Oreochromis niloticus: one gene and its partners. The protein of the gene in region 3 purifies or fractionates together with the protein of the main gene of each other region. This does not show direct contact. Links are inferred from orthologs where the notes say so. Each region holds a gene or a part of one and is shown on either strand. Other genes may lie near its edges.

What was found.
Region 1: the proteins of wdr24 (region 3) and nprl3 purify together in Homo sapiens (affinity purification with western blotting; 6 studies listed by BioGRID and IntAct, with this or other methods). This does not show direct contact. The link is inferred for Oreochromis niloticus from reciprocal best matches to the Homo sapiens genes WDR24 and NPRL3.
Region 2: the proteins of wdr24 (region 3) and sec13 purify together in Homo sapiens (affinity purification with mass spectrometry; 5 studies listed by BioGRID and IntAct, counting the BioPlex papers as one, with this or other methods). This does not show direct contact. The link is inferred for Oreochromis niloticus from reciprocal best matches to the Homo sapiens genes WDR24 and SEC13.

Annotation. Positions count from the first base shown.
Region 1 is NC_031969.2:24,429,842-24,437,394, forward strand, and holds the start of nprl3 (GATOR1 complex protein NPRL3), read left to right. Parts: upstream 1-4,254; 5' UTR 4,255-4,491; coding exon 4,492-4,687; intron 4,688-5,601; coding exon 5,602-5,671; intron 5,672-7,362; coding exon 7,363-7,401; intron 7,402-7,553. Other genes in the region: hemoglobin subunit beta-A, read left to right, coding at 1-171, 256-387. UniProt on the Homo sapiens protein: As a component of the GATOR1 complex functions as an inhibitor of the amino acid-sensing branch of the mTORC1 pathway.
Region 2 is NC_031970.2:4,864,690-4,872,138, reverse strand, and holds the start of sec13 (protein SEC13 homolog), read right to left. Parts: upstream 3,300-7,449; 5' UTR 3,087-3,299; coding exon 3,084-3,086; intron 2,885-3,083; coding exon 2,840-2,884; intron 453-2,839; coding exon 337-452; intron 1-336. Other genes in the region: cand2 (cullin-associated NEDD8-dissociated protein 2), read left to right, coding at 5,766-5,833, 6,819-6,962. UniProt on the Homo sapiens protein: Functions as a component of the nuclear pore complex (NPC) and the COPII coat. At the endoplasmic reticulum, SEC13 is involved in the biogenesis of COPII-coated vesicles.
Region 3 is NC_031973.2:19,294,057-19,302,589, forward strand, and holds the start of wdr24 (GATOR2 complex protein WDR24), read left to right. Parts: upstream 1-5,339; 5' UTR 5,340-5,450; intron 5,451-7,137; 5' UTR 7,138-7,141; coding exon 7,142-7,622; intron 7,623-8,058; coding exon 8,059-8,236; intron 8,237-8,380; coding exon 8,381-8,533. Other genes in the region: uncharacterized protein zgc:112496, read right to left, coding at 2,731-2,912, 3,104-3,256, 3,444-3,603, 4,677-4,770, 5,022-5,146. UniProt on the Homo sapiens protein: Catalytic component of the GATOR2 complex, a multiprotein complex that acts as an activator of the amino acid-sensing branch of the mTORC1 signaling pathway. The GATOR2 complex indirectly activates mTORC1 through the inhibition of the GATOR1 subcomplex.

The sequences.
Region 1 (7,553 bases), on a different chromosome or scaffold from region 3:
CTGTCCACCAATGCTGCCATTATGGGAAACCCCAAAGTGGCACAGCACGGAAAGACCGTGATGGGTGGTCTGGAAAATGCTGTGAAGAACTTGGACAACATCAAGCAGACCTACGCCAAACTGAGCGTTATGCACTCTGAGAAGCTCCACGTGGATCCCGATAACTTCAGGGTATGTCCCCACCAGCACCCAGAAACATTTATCACTATTACATCTGAAGCAATTCGTTAATTTTGTGCAACTCTCTCATCTTAGGTGCTCGCTGAATGCATCAGCCTGTGTGTGGCCGCTAAGTTTGGTCCCAGCGTCTTCACCGCTGACGCCCAGGAAGCCTGGCAGAAGTTTTTGGCCGTGGTCGTTTCTGCCCTGGGTAGACAGTACCACTAAATTTCTGGAGTGCCAGTTCATCAAAGATGTGCAACAGTTATAAGCGTGATTGTAAAATCATATCTCTTTAACTCTGTTGCCATATGCACTAATAAAAATAAAAAATAAAAAATAAAAAAAAAACTCAAATCAAACTCATTCTCTGTGCGATCATTTAAGGTGTTCTTATACCCGACAATACAACACTAAGACTCATTTAGTGTCATTTTAATTTTGTCTTAAAAAACAATATTAATTCCTGCTTTGAAACTGTTGCATAGAAAAATGAAATGCAATAAAGTGGCTACAACCTGTTGTAGTATGATCACCTGGAAAAGTGCCAGGGTGGTGAGAATAAGGTGTGTGCCCTTGTGAGTCAGCAAATTGTATATTTGTTGTGAGTTATTTACAGTAATTTATTTCTTATCTTTGCCAGGGAGAACGGTTATTCTGGCTTCTTTAAAAATGTGCAGTTTGATATAAAAGGGAGTGGTTTTCTGAAATTTATAAGAACAGTGTGTCACATATCGTGAGGGCGCGGTTGAAAGTTTTGGAACGGATACACACCGGGTGCCCGGGTCTTTTAGTACTTTATGACAGAAGATCTTACAAAAATCTTCATGCGTATCCCCTTATTATTTTTGAACAAACAAACTTACCACTGTTAAAATGTGCTTTATTTCTGTAGGCGTCCGCTGGGGATTATAGTGCAGCTCTAAATGCATCCAAGTGAATAAACAGAGTTCCTATACTCACGTGATATTCAAAATGGAGAATAAAGAGAGTGCAATCCATGCATCCATCCATCATCTTCTTCTGGATCTAAAGTCAAAGCACCCACAGTCGCCCAAATACGTCATCTAGTGGATCAAATTTGACATTGACGAGTCCTTGTTTTATAGAGTTAAGATTAACTAAAATTAGAGCGGATTACAAATGCTGTGCAAAACAGGGGAAAAGGTTATTTGTGTTTTGTTTTCAGACTTAATCATATCCCGATCCATATAGAGATTTAAAAAGAATCTCCCCCAGTTTAAATCTCAACTCAAAACCCATCTGTTCAAATCTGCATATTCACTGTGAACCCACTGTTTGTTAATTTTATCTTGTGCTTTTGTTTTATTGTTCTTCATTTTGTCATTTTTCCATTATGTGTTTTATCTAATTGTAAAGTGTCCTTGGGTGTCTTGAAAGGCGCTTTATAAATTAAATTTTTGTTATTATTATTATGATTATTATTATTATTGTTGTTGTTAAAAGAAAAGAAAGAAAAGAAAAACGGACAAGAAATGAAAATAGGTTTTAGAAACAATTCAGTTCCTGGATATCTCGTTTGGACTTTTACCATTTCATCGTCATCCTTTTCCTACTCCACAAAACCATCCTGATTGCAGTAGCGGTTTTAGATACGGGCGACACGGGCGGTTGCCCGGGGCGGCATCGTGGTGGGGCGGCATCACGGGCATCGAAAAAAAAAAAAAAGAAGCTCGTACTCATGCTGCTCTCCGACGTCAGCCAGCGCATATTGGTTATGGCATAGGCACCGATGGGTTTTCTATCGCCCATTTGCTGGGAGTAAGGGCGCCCTTCGTTTGCGAGGTGCGCCTGCTGCTTGCGGCACAGGGAGGAGAGGGCGGGGCGGCGGGGGATTCTCTGGCTGGCTGGAGCAGCATCTAATAACCAACTCGCAAAATAAAACAAAATAAAAACAAACCAACAAACACGAAAACACCAGACATTATTATACAGACTTATAATTTGCACCGATGTTTTTTCGAAATTCTATACACGAAAAGTGAGCGCGAGAGCCCTCGGTGTGCCTGCTGCTGAAGTCAAAGTAAACTTTATTGTCATCTGCGCTACATACAGTCCAGTATATAGAGAGACGAGACGACGAGGCTCCAGTTACAGCAGTGCAAGTAAACAAACAATAAATATAAGAAGAGTAAGAAAATAAATATACACTTTAGGACTAGGGCTAAAGGGATCAATAACAATTTAAAATTTACAGTTTGATGATTTAAAGTCTCACACACAACAAAGGGGAAGGGGCTGGCTGCTTCCAAATAGAGCACATTTCATTTATAATGTTGTAAATCCAAGCCCATTATGTATTCATGATTTGAATCCTGGGATGTGTGAAATCTCAGAAATGCACCTTAGACAAAGTGAATCTGTGAACTAAGGTGTAGGTGTATTAGATCATGTTGTGGTGATCCTCAGGTTGGGGGATGGGTGTTCATACTGGAGTGCAAAATTAAAACCAATGGAAGATGGACAAGAAAAGTTCAAAGCCATCAGGTGCTCAGTTTAGAAAAAAGAGAAAAGAAGAGGAGGAGAAACGAGCAAAATATACAGGTAAGCAGATGTGTCATTGGATAATGGGAGAGGGAGTATTCGCCCAGGGCGCCAAACAGGCTAGGACCGCCACTGCCTGATTGGATACCTCTAGCTGCTAAAAATGTTGTCCTCATCTTCATCACTAGGGCTTGAGCCTGAAGAGTCATCCCTTTCATTCTGGCTTTCATTCATCCACATGCCTCAATTTGTGGATGAAGGCACAATCAAAGCACAAAACAATTTCCAGCATTGAGAAGACAGGCTCCAAATTTGCTTCCTGCAGGTCAAAAAGCTCAAATAAATTCAAACTGGTTTCTTGAAGATTACAGTGAGCCTACTGCACTTAAGTGGGGTCCACAGTCACCAGATCCCAATCCAACACAGTAGCTTTGGGATGTAGTGGAAAGAGAGATTCACATCATCGATCACACACCTACTGTGTGATGTTGTGATGGAAAGGCAAAAATCTTTGAGGAACGTTTCCAGCATCTTGTTGAATTTATGCCATGAAGAATTAATGCAGTTATGAAGGTAAAAGGAAGTCCAACTTAGTACTAGCAAGATGTACCTAATGAAGTGGCCAATGAGTGTTTATTGCAGTGCATTTCATGTACATATGCATGGCAACATCTGTTTATTGTGACTATTTCATGTCTCCCTGTCCTGTTGGCATCTACAAATATACTTTTTAGGAATCCCATGAAAATCGAGCGACCTGGTGTGCCACTTTATGAGGTACTTTTTTATTTTAAAAAAAAAAAAAAAAAAAAAAAGAAGTATAATAGCGTTTTTATTAAAATTAGCACATCTCACAAAAATGGTACAGAAGAGAAAGTTATGGCAATAGAAAATGAACTCATGCTTGTATAAATAAATAAGAATAAACAAATAAATATATGAATTAAATCATTAAATAAAACAACTTTGACTTATAAGAGGAGTGGAGGATTGTATTACATTGTCCTTCACAGTTGTTTGTGTATCTATTATTATATTATACTTCTCAAATTAAGATAAACAGCAATTTACAATCACCTTGAAGCATTAGTAACATGTCCCACATTGTCCCACACAAACTCTCTCTCTCTGAGCTATATTTGGTTTCTTGGGCTGTCGTTGTCCTGCATATGCATCCTCTAAATGATATATTCCTGACAACTTTTTTTTCAAAAGATTCTCAAAGTGTTTTTTCTGACTCAGAGAGTAATTTCTTGCTTTTCATGCTGATGAGATCTGCGGTAGTTAATTAGGAGTTCATTTAGGTTATTTGTAATGTGTTGACACAGCACTGGTTCATGTCTTAGATTGGGTCTTCATAGCTCAACGTTAAGTTAGTCTGAGGGACTAAAAGTGAGTGAAAAGTCAGTCAATGTGCAAAGGAAAACTTCAAAATACCCTCATAAATCCTGGAGATCTATTGCTCAAGACTAATTCAAAAATATTAATAACAATAATTCAAGAAAGTCTCGCTCCTTGGAAGCAAAATCTATAGAAATCACGGTGAGTGAGGCAGTAGATTAAGTTGTAGCGGAAGGATATGATATCTGCCCTCTTTGTTTCAGCCGAACAGTTTTCACAGTGACACAAAACAATCCCAACAGTGGTGGATGGATGTGCGGTAGGGTATAATATCAAGGCTTTATAGTTAATTTTAGTCAGACTATAATTTGTCTCAGGTCGGTGTCTTTGTATGGCAAACACTGGTGTTAATACCAGGTTGAAGTGAAGCAAGATAACGCTTCCTGTCTGGTCGAAGCTAACTGAGGAGTTAGCTAGAATGCTAACATGATGCTCAACCCGTCAGTCGGTCTACCAGATGACCGAAAGTCCTTGTACCCTCAGTCCCAAAGTAGTGCATACAAATGCGGCGACAAAACCAGTCCTATTAGCGTCATACTGGTTAGCTCTGGAAGCCGAGGGAACAAACTCCTTTTTCGATATCCCTACCAAAAGGTCGCTGAGTGTCCGTCATCTCTCTCAGGTAGGCGTAGCATTAGCACGAAGCAGAAACATAAACATTTACGCACACACAGATAACCCGGTGTCACTTCCACGTAATTACATATTTACAGGAGATAATAAAGCAGCAGTGTAATCCAGGGCAAACCAACAGCCCCTTTTTGTTGTGATTGTCGACTTTGGAACCGCCGATTGCCTTTTTTTTTTTTCTGCGGATCGGGTCTATTTGTTCCTCTTTCTTGAAGTTTCCCTTTTTTGGCCTCTCAGATTGTTGTTGTTGGATGAGTTTTATGTGGCACATGAATTTGATGTACTTTTGTTCATTCACAAGTTGCTCTTGTTGCTGGTGTTGCGCCAAAACGTCATTGCAGTTGTTCCTGTGTGTCTTTTATGCCTAATAACTTTTCTTATAATTGCAAATAGGCTGCAGTCAAAAAGATTTCCGAACAGGATTTTATATAAAATAAAGAATTTACCTGTGTTGCCAGTATCTGTATGACTCAGCGTTATTGCACCTACTCTGTGTTCTAGATAAGGACTGGCCCAGGGTCCTCTTAAAAATGCATTTTAATCACACTTTTTAACTGGATAATTCAAAGATATATAAAAGTTCTACCTTGTGATAGGACTGTTCTTTCTGGCTCAGAATGATGTCATATCATTCATGAGCGATATCTTTGAGACTGTAGGCCATGAAGTTATTTACAGCACTTTAAATACCAGTAATTGTGTTTTTGGCAAATACTGGCACAGTACTGGTGCTGAGAGGCTTTTACTAGGAACAGGGGCATGAACTAGGGCAGCAAAAGCATGTGTCTCTCTAACACAGTTTTATGATCAGTGAGTTGAAGTCAGATTCACAGTGGTTCTTGTTTTTGTTGTGAATCTAATATGTATTTTCATAATGACTAACTCTCACTGATATCTGTCCACAAGCAAAACAGCGGAATCCATATGTGCTGAACACATCTGGGGATGAGCTCGATGACCAGGATGGTGATTCAAGGTATTTCTACAATCTTCATTTACTTTTTTTTAATGTATTATTCAACTTACTGTTTCATTCTGAGATCCAAATGAGCTTCTTAAGCTCATTATGTTTTCCTCCATCATGCTTGTAATCTTTTTTCCCTCATCTAGACACACTTTTTGTTTTTCAGCAATATTATAGATGCTGACACACAGTTTAAATCAGTGGTTCTCAAACTGTGGGAGAGTGTGGATTACTAGGAAAAACTATTAGGTTAAGCTAGGATTATTGAAAACATTGAGCTGTTGAGAACCACTGATTTAAATTAATTGTGTGACCTTTAATAAACTTTATTAAACTAAAAATATAATTGAGTAAAACAGTTCAGTATATGATATTTTTAAAAAAAACCAAAAAAACATTCACCTCACTTTGTACCTAATATTTGTCACAGCCCGAGGTGCTGTTTGGATAGACACTCTTTTTCCCAGCTGCTAAGAGATACACTCACTGGCCACTTTATTAGGTACACCTTGCTAGTAATGGATTGGACCCATTTTCCATCTGTTTAAAGGTTAGATGTGCTGTGCTTTTAGCGACGCTCTTCTGCATGCCTTGGGTCTAAGCTCAAAATAGTTTGTCCATTCTCCTTTGTCCTCTGGCACCAACAAAGCATTTTCACCCAGAAAAGCACCACTTACTTAACATTTTCTCGGCTTTAGACCATTCTGTGTAAATGCTAGAGTTGGTTGTGCAGGTTGACTTGACTCTGTCTGTATGCCTAAATGCAGTGAGTTGCTGCCATGTGATTGGCTGTTTAGATATTTGCATTAACAAGCAGCTGAACAAGTGTATGTAGTATAGTGGGTAGTGAGTGTATGTAATCCCCTAATGTGCATCTTAAGATGAGTTTCTATTTTGTCTTTCATGCTAGTAAGGTTCCATCAAGGCAGTAACTACACCAGCAGTCACGTTCTGAATTTAGCGGGAGCACTTCTTTATCTACTGAGTAAAACAAAAGAGTAAAACTGCTTCACAGTGATGCCACATATGTGTCAATAGCTGTATAATGTTCAGATAAGTCTGTAAAATAACCTATTCATTCAACCTTTATTTACGTTATTTTGTTATTATTAGCTTTATTAAAGCAAGCAGTGCCGTTCAATTGCATAAGAGCAGCTTTCATTTGGTGTTTATGACGTGAAACATGCCATAGATATTGGGCAGGTAGTGTAGGAATTTTTCAGACTAATTTAGCAGAACAAAAATAAGAAAATAAACAGTGGAAATAAAACATTTTGCTTGTATTTCCTGTTGTGTCATAAACATCAGTAGAGTGGAAAATAAGGATTGGCATGGACCACAGGATTACGACATTTCTGATATATATTCTATTACTTCCCACCGGCAGCATTTAAAATTATTTGAAGCCATACATGTACAAAGATGTATGTAATCATGACCTAGTTCAGACTTATTTTATTGTACTGTCATATTTTATTACAAACTTAGTTACCTTGAAAACCCTTTGAGGCGGGTATATAAGCTTACAAACCAGCACTGCTGGTATTAGGACTTCAGCACACCAGTGTTTTCACATCACACTATCACATGTTTGTTCGGCTTGTTTTGATGTCCATTTTTATGCATTTAGCCCAACTGTGTGTTGCATTTTCCCTTTTGTTTGTTTTTTTTTCTTCTTTTTTGTGGCCCAATCCCCATTTCAGAGAGCAATCTCCACTAACTGACGAACAGTTGGTAGCAGGGTAAGACGAAATCATTCTAAACCACCTTTCCTTCGCTTAGATCACCCCTGTCTTTTTATCCCCTTCTTTCCTATTTTGTGTCTTATATGGATCTCCAACCCTGATCTAAGTACACAATCCTTTTAAAACATCGTACAAGAATGAATCAGTGC
Region 2 (7,449 bases), on a different chromosome or scaffold from region 3:
CAAAATAAAAGCTATACTATATGTTTCTTCTGGGGTATATTCTCAGCAGTGGGGGAGGTTCAATTTCGGGGAGCTTTGAGGCAGTTGCCATGTTGCAACGAACTTAGCTTCTGTCTTGCTAGCTTCCGCTGCGCTCAGTGGATCTGCACTCAACAGTGCAAATCCACTGAGCGCTCAACACAGACAGCATCATCAAAAGAAAAGTTGATAAAATAAATAAAAAATGTTCTATTGTTCGATACATATGCGAACCGAACCGAAAGCACTGTATCGAACGGTTCATTATAGATGCGAGTATTGTTGCACCCCTAGATATGAGCCAGCCCTACTTCTTACCCTCTGAGGTCTGCCACAAGGATCTGCCCTCCGTTTCTGACGTCAAAGATCTTGACGGTGCGGTCAGAAGAACAGGTGGCGAGCCGAGTCCCGTAGTAGTCCATCTGGGCATCGTGCTGAAACAGACAGAGCAAAATGTAAAAACCTGAGTGAGAACCTCCACCTCTACCTTTCAATTTAAACAATATTTTATTATTTTATATTTTATTAATATTTTCATTCTCATGGTGATTGTTCAGTTTAAACATCATCTAACAGAAAATAAAAAGGATAAATGCTGCAACAATGATTTAGTCAAAAGAAAATACTTTATTCTCTTAAAAGGGATAGTTCGGATACTGAGGAGCTTTTGCACATCTTCTTTTGCTGGAGAATCAGCCTTAAATCTAAATAATGTGCTTTCAGTGGCTGTAGTCAGCAGCCAAAAGCAGCCGGACTGTCCTTTCCAACAGGGAAATGAAGCCATATCTATGAATGTACTGTATTCAAAACCGGCTTTGACACAAACAGTGTCGTTACCTCATTGAACATGTTGGTCTACCACTGCCCTCTTCAGTTAGTTAATGTTATTGTGTCCCTTTCATGTTTTTGAGGTGTTACTTCAGATAAACATGTGTAAAACACAAAAGTCCTACAGCAAATGTACAGGTTACAGTTTATAACCTGCACAAAAGTAAAGCTAAGTCAAGTTCAAATGTATCTGTGGCAACAGTCACAGGGTATCAGTGGCAAGTTGTTAATGATTTGTTTCTGAAATTATTATTTTAATAGCCTTTGCCAAAGATGGAGCTCAGCTCAATGTGCTTTATCATGTATGACTTAATGATCACAAACAACAGTGAAAATCACTGTTTGTGTGAATTAACACAAAACAGGTTCAGAGTGGGCTGATGATGTTCTGCTGTGTGTCGTCACCCACTGACAATCCTGGTTTTATTGTTAATTTAATCAACTCAAATGTTCTTTTATATGTAATTTAGTATAGTAGTCTGGACTTTATGAAACATAGTGACATATAAAGTCATGTGAAAAAAAGTCAGTTTAAAAAAAACTTTAAGTAGATCTTTAAAATAAACTTAGTACACCCTATTGTTTCTATGAGACGCTACATGTATCGGCCAACATCGGTTAAATGCACAAGAGAGCACAACTGAACAAGTCTGGTTTGCTTGGAAAAAGCCTCATCTCTCCCTAAAGAACATGGTAGCACTTCTGGGATAATGTTCTTTGGACAGACAAGATCAGGTGTAGAAGTCTGGTGAAAACCAAACTCAGCAAAATGGTTAAGAGGTGCCGATTTGGGCTTGCTGTGCAGCCACTGCACATGGAAACCCTGCAGTTACAAGTCGACCATAAACTCCTCTGTATACCAAAGTATTCTATTTATTATTTATTTATTTATAAAGCACATTTAATAACAACAGAGAGTTGACCAAAGTGCTGTACAACGTAATAATTAAACAGTGGCATTAACATCAACAACAGGTAAGAAAATTAAAAGAAAATTAGGATAAAAAGAATTGGTGACTCTCATGCAGTATAAAAAGCCAAAGCGAAAAAATATGTTTTAAGATGGGATTTAAAAAGACTGACAGTTGGGGCCTTTCTAATGTGGAGAGGTAGATCGTTCCACGTTTTCGATGCCACAACCACAAATGCCCAATTCCCTCTATGAACCATCCTAGACTTGTGTAAGGTAAGGAGTAAATGATCACTTGATCAAAGGCCTCTAGAGGACATATAAAGCTGCAAAAGGTCAGACAAATAGTCTGGTGCCTGACAATTTAGCACTTATTAAGTCAAAAGTAAGATTTTAAATTTAATTTTCATTTTGCACTGGAAGCCAATGAAGGGAAGCAAGCACCAGGGTAAAATGTTGGTGTCTCTTCACACGAGTCAAAAGACAGGCTGCAGCATTTTGTACAAATTGGAGCCGTGCCAAACTGGACTGACTGACACCAACATAAAGCGAATTACAGTAATCCAGTTGAAATAAGGCAAACGCATAGATTGCTCCTTCCAAGTTTTTAAAGGATAAAAATAATCTCACCTCGAATAAGAGCCTTAATTTTTTTTTTTTTTTTTAAAAGGACCGCTGAACAACTGAATAAATTTGTTTCTCAAATCTAATTTTGTTATCCAAGAAAACCCCCAGATATTTTTTATTCTAGAGTCAAATGTGAAGTCATCAGTCCGAGAGCTAAAACTGAAAGAGGGTCATGAATTAGGACAATGATCCTAAAAGAACAGTATCAGTCTCTGATGATCAGCTAGCAGTGTCAGATCGCAGCAATGTTAGTTTGTTACAACTGGGTTTAAAGACAATGGATGACACGTTACAGTGATAATACTTACTGACGTTTCATTGTACACATGTTTGTATCTCTAGTTATCACGCGTAAAAGCTCACTTACAGGTATTTAAAACAAGAAGGCTAACATCAGCTGTGATTAGCAACTAGTTTGGGTTAAATAAAAAAGGGGAAAAAAACTGGAAAACTTACAATCATGTCCTCATGAGAGGTGTCCACGGTGTTAATGACGGAAACCTGAAATGAACAAACATTATATAATCACAAATACTGCACATTAATTAAAATGTTCATTGATTTTCCTGCTACTACTAGCCACTTTGCTAAGGAGCTACTAGGACTTGGGCACGTCAGCAGCTAACGGTAACCGGGAAAATGCCACAAACGTCAGCGAGCAGCTTCACCGGTGGCCTAAATGCAAAGTTATCAAACTCACCATGACCGTGACTGACACAGAAACCCCGAACAACACGAGTAATCCTCCTTTATAAGAAAAAAGAAACCCGGCTTCACCGACTACTCCGACGTGGCAACAAGTAAGATAACCGTTTCCCACCGAGTCCCACCGCACATCATACCGGCGGAAATAACAACCAGTAAACAAGGGTTCCGCATAAGCGTCTGACGAGCTAACCTTAACCTTATTTAGAAGCTAAATATGAACACATTCTAAATAAATTAAAATCCGATCCCTCCTAGATTAGTGAAAACATTTCAAAAAGTTACATTTTCTCCTTTTGAATGGAATGGAACATACAAATACATATATATATATGTATATACATATATATATATATATATATATATATATATATATATATATATATATATATATATATATATATATATATATATATATATATATATACAGTTAAGCCCATAATTATTCATACCCCTGCCAAATTTTGGCTTAAAGTTACTTTTGTTCAACAAGCAAGTTCTTTTTTGAGCAGAAATGACACAGGTGTCTCCCCAAAGATAATAAGACGATGTACAAGAGGCATCATTGTGGAAAAAAATATTTCTCAGGTTTTATTTATATTTTAGCAAAAAGTATCATGTCCAGAATTATTCATACCCTTCTCAATAATCAATAGAAAAGTTTTTATTGGCTATTACAGCAATCAAACGCTTCCTATAATTGCAGACCCGCTTTCTGCATGTCTCCACAGGCATTTTTGCCCATTCATCTTTAGCAATGAGCTCCAAATCTTTCAGGTTGGACGGTCTTCTTGCCATCACCCTGATCTTTAGCTCCCTCCACAGATTCTGAATTGGATTCAAGTCAGGACTCTGGCTAGGCCACTGCAAAACGTTAATGTTGGTGTCTGCTAACCATTTCTTCACCATGTTTGCTGTATGTTTTGGGTCATTGTCGTGCTGAAATGTCCACTGGTTCCCAAGGCCAAGTTTTTCTGCAGACTGCCTGATGTTGTTGTTGAGAATCTTCATGTATTGCTCTTTTTTCATGGTGCTGTTTACTGTGATTAGGTTCCATGGTCCATTGGCTAAAAAACACCCCCAAAGCATTAGGTTCCCACCACCATGTTTGACAGTGGGGATGGTGTTCTGTGGGTTGAAGGCTTCTCCTTTTTTATGCCAAATGAAGGCAACATCATTGTGACCAAATAATTCAATTTTTGTTTCATCTGACCATAACACTGAAGACCAGAAACCTTCTTCTTTGTCCAGATGAGCATTTGCAAAGGCCAAACGAGCTTTGGCATGCCTTAGAAGTGCCTGGAGAAGTGGCGTTTTCCTTGGTCTGCATCCGTGGAACCCAACAGTGTCCGTTGGACTGTCTGCCTTGAGACATTGCCACCAGCAGAGCCCAGATTCACCAGAATGGCCTTGGTGGTGATCCTTGGATTCTTTTTCACCTCTCTCACTATCCTCCTGGCCAGCACAGGTTTCACTTTTGGCTTCCGACAACGTCCTCTGAGATTTTCCACAGTGCGGAACATCTTGTATTTTTTAATAATACTTTGCACTGTAGCCACTGGAACTTGAAAACATTTGGACATGGCCTTGTAGCCCATTCCTCACTTGTGAGCAGCCACAATGCACAGCTGCAGGTCCTCACTGAGTTCCTTTGTCTTAGCCATGAATGTCCACAGACCACCTGCAGAGAGCTGCTGTTTTTCACCTGTTGAGTTGAGTAAAACAGCTATTTCCAATTAATCAGGGTAATTAGGATGCTTTAGAACAGCTTTGACTATTTGGAATGGTATGGAACTTTGGATTTTCCCAGAGACTGTGACAGTTTGTAAAGGGTATGAATAATTCTGGACATGATACTTTTTGCTCAAATGTAAATAAAAGCTGAGAAATATTTTTTTCCACAATGATGCGTCTTGTACATCATCTTATTATCTTTTGTGATACGCCTGTGTCATTTCCAGTCAAAAAATAACTTGCTGGTTGAATAAAAGTAATTTTAAGTCAAAATTTGCCAGGGGTATGAATAATTATGGGCTTAACTGTATGTATAATATACAAATATCTCTTTCATTAAATATGGTCTGTTTCTTGTCCTAAGTTTGTCTTTTTTTGTCAAATGACTCTGTTTTTGAATAATAATGATAATACTACTACTACTAATAATAATAATAATAATAATTATTATTATTTTTATTATTATCGTTGCCAGGAAAGGTGAAGAACACAGTTAACCCAAACTTTTGCTGCATGTGTTAGTTATCAATAAAGTTGAGGAGAAAAAAATCTAAACGGGTACTGTAATTGTTGTTGAATTTGTTTATCAATAAAGGTGGGATCAAATTCCAAACGGTTAATACTAACCGATAACCGTCGGCGTTTTTTTCGGCAAATTAACGTAAAAATAAGACTTGAAACTCGGTTTATCGGCACATTACCGCCTCCGTATGGCCGGTCGGACTCCGTGTGTCCACACGGCGGCGCCACAAAGCTGAACCACTGTCCCCTGCCGTCTATTTTTGTCCGGGCACGCCGAGTGTCGGGTTCCATCGGGCCGTCAGCTCTCCTCTCTGCCCCCCCTAGCCTCGCCATGTTGTCGGCTTAAATCTGGTGGCAAGTTTTCTGAGTTTACCGTAGAAAAAAAACTTTTTCTCAGCCTGAGTGACTAAACAGTGGAAAGATGTCGAGTGTGTCCTACCACATCTCCAACCTGTTGGAGAAAATGACCTCCACTGACAAAGACTTCAGGTAAGAAACAGTGAGCAGTTCTCACAGTGAGATGACACTTTTTTAAAACCACGACTTGTGTGTGCCATTTTACCACACAGGAGACAATAGTGCCCTCTATACAGTCTTAATTACTTTTATTTAATCGACACATCATTTATTAGTTTTCTCTACCTGAAAACAAAAATCAATTTTAACAAATTTACCTAACCAAGGTTACGTTTTCATAAAAAACTCCAAATGTTATATTAATATTATTGACTAATTTAATCATTATCAAAATATGTTTGTAAATATCTGTCTAACCCTAACCCTGTGTCGGCTGTGATTTTTTTAAAGCATCAAATACTCAATTTCAGAAATTGGAAGTAGGGATTTTTTGCTAACATGATAAATTCATGATCTAAATTGTTTTATATTTTGAGAAAGTGAGTCGTTGTTGTCCAGGTAGATAGCAGTAGGTTCAAGAATGTTGGAGATTTTTGTTATTGTTTTATTTTGTCTTAAAAATCTTTTAATACATTGCAAAATATCTTTGGAGATGTTTTTAACACAACACATATTGGGTTTACTGTCATGTGTGACCAAGGAAAGTATATTCTGCAACTGTTTTACATGTTTTGATAACTCTTTGAGTGTTATTAACACATCTATAAGCCAACAACAACACAAGTATAGATTTGAATTACTTAATATACCAACCTCTACCTTTCTCCTTGTTGTCATTGAATTGATGAGTTAAATATTTATTGGACAAGTAATGTGCACATCTTTACTGAAAGACCACAATTGTAACAGAAGTGGCGAAAAAAGCATCTAATTAAATGTTACAATTGAAAATCTGGATTAATAATTAAAGAATAAATAGACATCTAAACAAATCGATACACTTAATTCATTATTTGACCCTTTTTTGAGGCAGTAATGAAAAGAAGGATCACTGAAGGGATTCACAGATCAGTTTATTAACTTTGGTCTCTATGTGTGTGTGTGTGTGTGCGTGCAGGTTCATGGCCACCAATGACCTGATGCTGGAGCTGCAGAAGGACAGCATTAAGCTGGACGAGGACAGCGAGAGAAGAGTTGTGACCATGCTGCTCAAACTGCTGGAAGACAAGAATGGGGAGGTGCAGAACCTGGCTGTGAAATGGTAAAAATCACACTCGTACGCACAGTGTGAACCGGTTTAGTTCATGTAAACTGTATTTTATTTATCCAGATTTATTTTTGGATTCCTACAAAGGTGCTCTTTGTAACTATCCTCTGTGGAAGGGTTAGCTAAGTTTAACCACCAGAGGGCTGCATTTTTACCTAACCCTTGAGTTATAGACTATTTTAAGTTTTGCTGTATCATCTACTCCCATTTACTTGAGAGTCTGTTTCTGGTGACTTTTGTCTGTTGAATAAAGGTAATGGAAAGTCACAACATTATATCAAAGTTCAGCGTGGGGAGCCTCCCACTATTACCAAAGTGCTTGATCATAGGGGGTCATGTGATTGTTGGGTTTTTCTCTGTATGTATTATTGTAGGGTCTACCTTACACTATAAAGCACCTTGAGGTGACTGTTGTTGTGATTTGGCGCTGTATAAATAAAATAGAATTGAACTGAATTGAAGTTGAATTAAATAAAGATAA
Region 3 (8,533 bases):
CTGTGAAACCTTGGACTGTTTGAGATATTTTCATGTAGCTAGACTCATTTTCTTTTTCCTTTTTATTTATAACTTGTTCGCCAATTCGTTTGCAGCCGATGCAGCTTAATTCTGCAAGTGCCCACATCTCCCAGACTCTCTTCCCCCTTGCGGCGTGCGGACGCTTCTCCGCAGTTCCTCTTCTGCAAATAACAAATTATGGACAGGGCTCCTGTCATATATTTTATCTCCTGAGTGATTCGGGCTTTTTGGAAAGCCGAGGCGAGGATGGCAATTATATTTACTCAATGCTACGTTCCATTTTTCAGTCTTTCAATCAATAATTCATTTGAATGTCCACTGGCTGCCTGAGGGAGGAAAAAAAATTTTTTTAGCATTTGCCAGTCTTGACAGTTGGCCGTCCTCAGCGTTTGCTTCCACATGAAACTGTCAGTAGTGACAGAGGACTCCATGTTAAATGAGGGAATGGGTGTGAAATAGCCATAATAAGCCATTTTCAGATACATTTAAACAAGACAAGGTCAGCCAGTAGTTGATAGCGATGTATCCCTGATGGAAACTCCCTGATGTGTTGACTAGGAAATATTACTGCTTGGGATAGCAAAGATGTGTTGATGAATAATGCATACATACCCTGTTAGCCTATAATGAAGATAAAGCGGATGGCTGAGAGGAGGTTAATGTGCCTCTTTAACTTAAGATTCATAGGAACCCGAAAGGGTTGTAAAAAGGGCTAGTCAATGGCTATGTTTTTGTAGAACACGTCAACTGTGAATATAACCACTCCCAGAACTAGATGCAGGAACAAAGTGAAACGGCTAGTGTTTGAATTTATTTATTTCAAGAGCAAAGCGTTCAATAGCATTGGCAGGAAAAGAAAAAACCAAGTAGGTGTAGAGAGAAGTTTTTAGGATTAATTTACCAGTTTCCTGTAAGCCAACTCTCCTGGCCCAAGCCTGAGCCAATCGCAGCAACAACACACCTGGATTCGCCTCCTTAGCTGCCCCTGCTTTACATCCTCCAGCTCATCTTAAAGGAGGGGACACTCTCGCTCTGACAGCATGTGACAGTTTGTGAGAGACACCTGAAGCTTCCCCCATCCTGACCCCCCTCCCTGTGCAGAGTAGGGCTGATACATGGTTGCCACGCCAACCAGAGATCCCTAAGCCAGACCCTAAACAGGATGTCTTCCTTTAATAAGTGGATCTGACAAGGCGGCATGATGTTAATTTAATTGCTGTCGTTAGGTGACGTAGTTGTTTTCGACAGTCGGCAGGAAGTCTCTGTGAGGGATGGCGCGAGCAGCCTATAATCCATCACTACAGATGATCCACGTCCTCCCCCGAATTGTCTCGATACGGTCACGATGACTGCGTTATGAGATCAGGCTAAAAGTTTCTACTCGCCTCATTCAAAATGCAACTTTATAGCTTCATACTCGACACTGGCTGTTTCTGACTTCTTGGTTTTTGTCACAAGTGTTTTGTTTTTGCACTTCTTATAATGTACTTAACTGACACGTTGCTGTGTGCCATAGTCTCATCTGACATAATCATTCTCCTGAAGCTTTTTCCTTTAACCTTCCTATGCCAATCCATCGTGCTGTACGCCCAATGCCTTGTTACATATACGAGCTCAAAGCAAAGCACCAGGCAGAAAGGCTGCTTTGCTGTCAGCCGCCTACACGATGATGCAGAGAATCCATAAGAGACGGAAACCACAGTGCAAATATCCGTGTGTCCAGTAGCTCCTCTGAACTGCTGTGTGCCACAACAGGCCGGCCAGGTCGCCTTTTCTGTGTGTTTAGTTCTGCTTAGATATAGCACTGTAGCTGATCTACAAACAAGAGTGAGTGGATACTCACCAGTGCTTACATTTAAACCCTTAGGAGACTTGGTAAAGGTTCTTAAAGGGCCCCAAAAGATATTTAGTTTGATTTCCCATATTAATCTCAATATTGATACAAAAGAAAATGATAGTCAGGGCCCACCTAGCTGCTAGAATTTAAGATACACTTGCAAACTCATTAGTGAAGTCTGTCTTAGAGTACAGATGGAACAAAAGATGGAGAGGAGGGAACACTGCTGAAACCTCATTTTCTAGCTTTAGTATGATCGCAAATGCTGAGCCACACGATATCATGCAAACATGTCATTTCATAAAGCAAGAGTCGAACCCCTCCCACAGTTTAGGATGACAAAAGTCGTACCTGCGCTGCTCTGGTAGTTTCTCATGAGCTGCTTACTCGTATCTATAAAATGGTGCCAAGCTTACGAGGTTCAGCCTCTCAGACCCAGACAAGAGGTTGTACCAACACAGCGTTTACAAAAAGAACAAGCAGAAGAAGCTATTTTTTTTTCCTCTCTGTCAAGAGGAAATTGAAGGACAACTAAATTTACCTATGGATAATTTATATCAAAGTCCTCATTAATGATTTCACAATCTATTGTACTTTTTAAATGTTCTGAACGGAACCATTTTATATTGTGTATATATATGAATATATTTTGTTTTATTTTGTACTGTTCATTGTACTTTGCTTTAATTTAGAAACAATATAAATAAAGAACAATACTGTGGCAACATCCTACTGCTTTTGACGTTATTTAACCGAGACGCGTGATGGATTAGTCGATCCGCAACACTTCACCACAAAAAGGTTTTATTATTATTTTGGGAAAAGGAAAAAACTACAAATTTTAAATCGGCATTCATGTAAAATGTTCGGTTTTATGCAGATTTGAGTTTCTTTGTTGGTCTCTGGTCAGCTTCACTGTCGGAGCACTTCTTCCCCACTGCGCTCCCCCTCACATCGATGTCCTTTAGAAGTTGGAGCTGCAGCTGTGTGGCTATGCTCATCGCCCACAAACACAGCTCCAGCCTGTGGGGCGTCCAGTCCTGCAGCGGATCCACTGAGGGGCGAGAGGCAATACAAAAGCCTTTTTTTTTTTCTTCCCTTTTTGGTAAAGCACTTTTACACAACATGACCATTCACATATATAATAAAGGCATTAAAACAGCACATTAAACACAGGCCAATGTGGTATTTTAATGAGTAGTGTCTGTACTGCAGATGATGACGTAACCAGTTTGGTGTCATTACCTCTGTTTATTTTTTCGGTCCTCTCAGTCATCTTTTCCAGGTACACGGTGTAGTGCTTGGCGGTGTACTGGATGGGCTTCAGTCCCGGTACGCTCTCCATGGCTTCATCAGACATGAACGCAGCCTGTTCTGGAGCTCCCGCTGCTAACACAGCTGGAACAAAATGGACAGTCAGCCTCAAGCTACGCTGAACGCAGCCAACAAGTGCATATATTTTTCTACACAGAGTACAGAGAGTTCCAGCCTACTCGATCTAAGCACTGTTCTGTAAACTTGGAGAGGATCACAGAGAAATTTTCATACGTTTGTCTTCATATCCCAGAAAAGATGGTGTGCCGACCTGAAGCAGTGGCTGGGCCGACTCCTTTCAGGGAGCTGAGCTCTGCAATGGCGGCCTGCACGTCAGGCAGAAGGCTGAAGGCCTTTCTGGAACATTTCTCCACCTCGTCCTCGCTGTTGGAAGCCACCAGCTGCTGCAGCCTCGGCCTGAACTTCCCTCTCTGCAGACAAGCCCACAGGGCCACTCAAGGACACATCTGATGAAGGGAGTGCTTTAGGACTCTTCATGCTATTTCAAAGCTACGCTATGTGTTTGAAGGAGTAATTACTGGTGCATGTGGTTGAAATGTGTGAGACAGATGCACTTGTAAAGGAGGCAAGTGCTGAGGAAACATACAGAAGTACTCAGACTTTTACACACACTCACTATGGGCATAAATGTCATGGTGATTTTGGATTTTTAATGATTACTTTGAACTGTTGTTTTCCCAGGATGTAATGATTGTATAGCATACATCTTTAATGATTTTAAAAAACAAGATCTGCCTCAAAGTCAGCACTTTCAAACTCAACTGAAATTTGTAGCCACCCACATGGACCAGCCAAATGCCTTTTAAAGAAAAGTTTTACGGTCAGTCAAGGCAAAGCTTGAGCTATTTGGTCACAATAACAAGAGCACAAGAGGTATCTAAAGGTGGGGTTATCTTATGCTGGAGATTTCTTCCTGTTAAAATGGAGTTTTTCTTTCCCACTGTTGCCAAAATGCTTGCTCATAGAGGCAGTCATATGACGGTTGGGGCTCTCTCTGTTTTCTTTGTATTATTGTAGAGTCTTTACAATATAAAGTGCATTAAGGCGAATGTTGCTGTGATTTGGTGCTATATAAATAAAATTGAATTAAAAAGCAGGGACTGTGCCAGGAAGCCAACTAATTTAAATGAACTCTACCAATTCTGCTAGGAAGAGTGATTAAATATTCAGCCAGAATTATGCCAGAAGCATCTGGTTGAGGTTGACATTTAACCAAATATTAGTGGGGGTGTATGTATAATCTTGACCCTGTGTGGGCAAGTGAAAATCCAAAATAATTTCACTTGTACACAATGTTCTTTTTTTTTTTAAGTCAATAACGATGATGTACTATGTGCAATCATTCCACCCTGGAAAAAAGAACAGTCCAAAGAATTAAAAATCACCATGACATTCAAGCCCACAATGAAGGGATGTAAACCTCTAATCACACCTGAATGTCAAGTTTTCATTTTTGATTTAGAGTCCAGAAATAATTACTCACAGTGAGCTTCCACTCCATCAGTTTCTTTAGCTCTGATAGAGAGACATGTTTGTCAGGCCGACTTGAAATCAGTGAGGGCAGCTCCTGTTGGTACCTGATCACACAGACACTGATTAGGATCTGTGTACCTTTCATCTTACAGTCAAAGCAAAGCCAACTCATCCAAGTTCAATTCAATTTAAAAAAGCACATTCAATTTTAAATTAACAGGCATCAAGAGGAAATTGTGGTAAAACCAGGTCAGAAGGTATCCACTATACAACCCCAACTTCAGGTCCGCTTGCAGCTTTCTGCAGACTTTTAAATCGCAGCTGACATGGATAAAAAGGTGGAATAGGGGATTACCACCGCTCAAGGTCCAGCAGCTTCCCAGGTTTCTTGACTTTGGCCTTGGCCTCCACTACATCCCAGTATTTCTCATACACCTTCCTCCATGCGGCTGGCTCCTCACAGGCAAACAGAGCGCTCATGACAGCAGAAAGCTCACACCATCACCTGCAAACACAGAAGCATTTATTTCACACAGCCAAATAAATAACATTACGCTTAACAAGTGTTGTTTTCGCCCTAATGTATTGCGGTGATCAGAAAATGTCACGTTTATTTTGAAGTACACGACATAAAAACAAACCCACCCAGATCGTTTCTAATGTCTGCTCAGTAGTAAGTTTTTGCCGCGTGATGGTTGCTTCTGTTATTTCAGACGGAAATCCCGCGAGATGATAACAAAATACTACTTCCGGTGCTGCAAGAAGGCGAGCTTCACAGCACAAGGTTTGTCCTTAGAAGTTGTTTGTGTTTTACTTTAAGCGCGTGAATTTTCTTAATTTGATAGATTTTTTAATTATCTGTCAGACTGTTTAAATACTTGTAGCGTTTGCGCTTTGTCTTTGCAAACCTGCGCGGCGACTGGTGCTAGCCAGCTAGCACTAGCATGTCATTCCAGTCATGTTTATGGTCAAAGTACAGAGAGTTCTGCAGCTTGTGGCCAACTCAGCAGGAGACGCGTAAACTACAAGCCGATTACTAGTCACAAATAGATGTGTAAAGACAAATTATAAACACCAACAACACGTGGCATTAAGAAGGTGAACGGTTAAAGTGTTAGTATGCATAAACACTGGCCACATTGCCAGCTAGTGTGTGTTTATGTTACTTGGTGGAGTAAATCACGTGAGCACCAAGCGGCTACAAGTTGTAAGAGGATGAGTAGATCAAACAAACCCACAGGATGAGCTTGTACTAAAAGCAGGATACGTAAGAGTATTTAGAAACTGCATGCACTTAAAGCAATAACGTGTCGGGTAGTGCGATTACACTGCAACATTTCAGAATGTCATTGCATTCTATAAACATTCACCGGCCACTTTATTAGGTGCACCTTGCTATTACCGGTTTGGAACCCATTTCTGCTTCAGAGGTGCTTTAATTAAAAGTGGCATAGAGTCAGAAGGTGCTGAAAAGATTTCTCTGAGATGTTGGTCCATATTGACATGATAGCATCACAGAGTCGCTGCGGATTGAACAGGTGCTCTAGTACACGGAGATCTGGTGACTGTGGAAACAAAGTGTGCCAAAAAAATCCCCCACACCGATTAGACCACCACCAGGCTAAAGCTTTGGTACAAGGCAGGCTGGATCCATGCCAAATTCTGACCCTACCATCTAAATGTAAAAGCAGAAATTGAGACTGATTTTGTGAGCCTGGTTGAATTTGAATTGTAGCCTCAGTTTCTTGTTCTTTTATGACAGCAGTGGTACTCAGGGTTAGTGGTCTTCTGCTGCTTCAAGGTTCGATGTGTTGTACATTCAGAGATGCTCTTCCGCATGGTCTAGTTGTGTTGGATGTTATTTCACATACTGTTTCCTTCCTATGAGCTCAGACCACTCTGATTATTATCCTCTGACACCAACAAGTAATCTTCACCCAGAGTGTCGCTCACTTGGTAGTTTTTATTTTTCAGACCATTTTCTTTAAACCCTTGAAAATCCCAGCAGGTCAGCAGTTTCAGAAATACTTAGACCAGCCTGTCTGGCACCACTAACAATGCCACATTTAAAGTCGTTTAAATCCACTTTCTGTCCCATTCTCATGCTCAGTTTGAACTGCAGCTGGTCATCTCCAACAAAACAACATGCCTCAGTTCACTGAGTTGCTGCCATTGGCTGATTAGATATTTGCATTAATAAGCTGTTACACAAGTTTAACTAACAGATGACATACATATGACACAGTTCATTATTGATTTGTGACATGCTGCCACCCAGTCTAGGAAGTGCTGTATAACTCTAACTTATTATTTTGCTTGAGTGCCACCTGCTGGTGGCGTCTAACAGCCTTATTGTAAGTTTGTATTTGTAGTTCTCTACCTAATGCCTCATGTCACATTAACTGGGTTTGACCTGATAGCGTGGACAAAGTATATTATCTTTACTATTATTATCATTATTTTTGCAACAGAAACATGGAAAAAATGTCAAGGGTCACCACAGCTCTTGGCAGCAATGCGATCAGTGGCAGAACCATGTTCTGCCACTTGGACGCGCCGGCTAACGCCATCAGCGTGTGCCGTGATGCCACGCAGGTGGTTGTAGCAGGACGGAACATTTTTAAGATCTACGCACTCGAGGAGGAGCAGTTTGTGGAAAAACTGAATCTCCGTGTCGGCCGCAAACCGTCGCTGAACTTCAGCTGCGCCGATGTCATGTGGCATCAGATGGAGGAGAACCTGCTGGCCACGGCGGCCACCAACGGGGCGGTGGTAACGTGGAATCTGGGAAAACCCTCTCGCAACAAGCAGGACCAGCTGTTTACTGAGCACAAGCGCACCGTCAACAAGGTGTGCTTCCACCCAACAGAGGTTTACATGCTGCTAAGTGGTTCACAGGACGGCTTCATGAAGTGCTTCGACCTGCGCAAGAAGGAGTCTGTGAGCACTTTCTCAGGTAATTTAGTTTGCAACAACTCTTTCATGTGTAATGTAAAGTAAGTCTTTGCATGAAACAGTAGCGCTGTTTCTTCTTAATATGTTGAGAATATGTGAAGTGAGAACTTTACAATGCGTACACTACAGAACGCCCTCTAAACTGACACCTTTGATGTCTGTGGTTCAAAGCTGTAAAGGGTTGGATTGCTGTAGTTGTGGTAGAGAGATACAAAATGTAGAATTTCTCACTAAACAGTGAAAATCAAACCATGTAATTAAAGAAAGACCTTTTTTTTCTTTACAGGAAGAGTGATTTAATGAAGAAGGAGTTAACTCCAGTTTTAGACTAATGATACTGAACTAATAACACTTTTATGGTTCACCTAATGTGATGAAGTCTTTTTCACTTGTCAGAAGTAATGCTGTCATCCCTTAACTTCCCCTGTTTCTTCTAGGTCAGTCAGAGAGTGTAAGGGACGTCCAGTTCAGCATGAAGGATTATTTCACATTCGCCGCATCCTTTGAAAATGGCAACGTGCAGCTGTGGGACATTAGACGACCGGACCGCTATGAGAGAATGTTCACTGCTCACACAGGTCCGGTGTTTTGCTGTGACTGGCATCCTGATGACAGGTAAGACAAGAAATATGAGACATGAAATAAGAAATTTCAGCCTTTCCTTGCTAACATGTTTTTTGTAACCTTGTAGAGCAGTAGACCCATTTTTTTGAAGCCAGGTGTATTACAGTTGTCGCCTTTCACCTCATTTCATTTTAGGGGTTGGCTGGCAACGGGGGGCAGGGACAAGATGGTGAAGGTTTGGGACATGACCACTAACAGAGCCAAGGAGATCTACTGCGTCCAGACGATTGCTTCAGTGGCACGAGTTAAATGGCGACCTGAGAGAAAGTTTCATTTGGCCACCTGTTC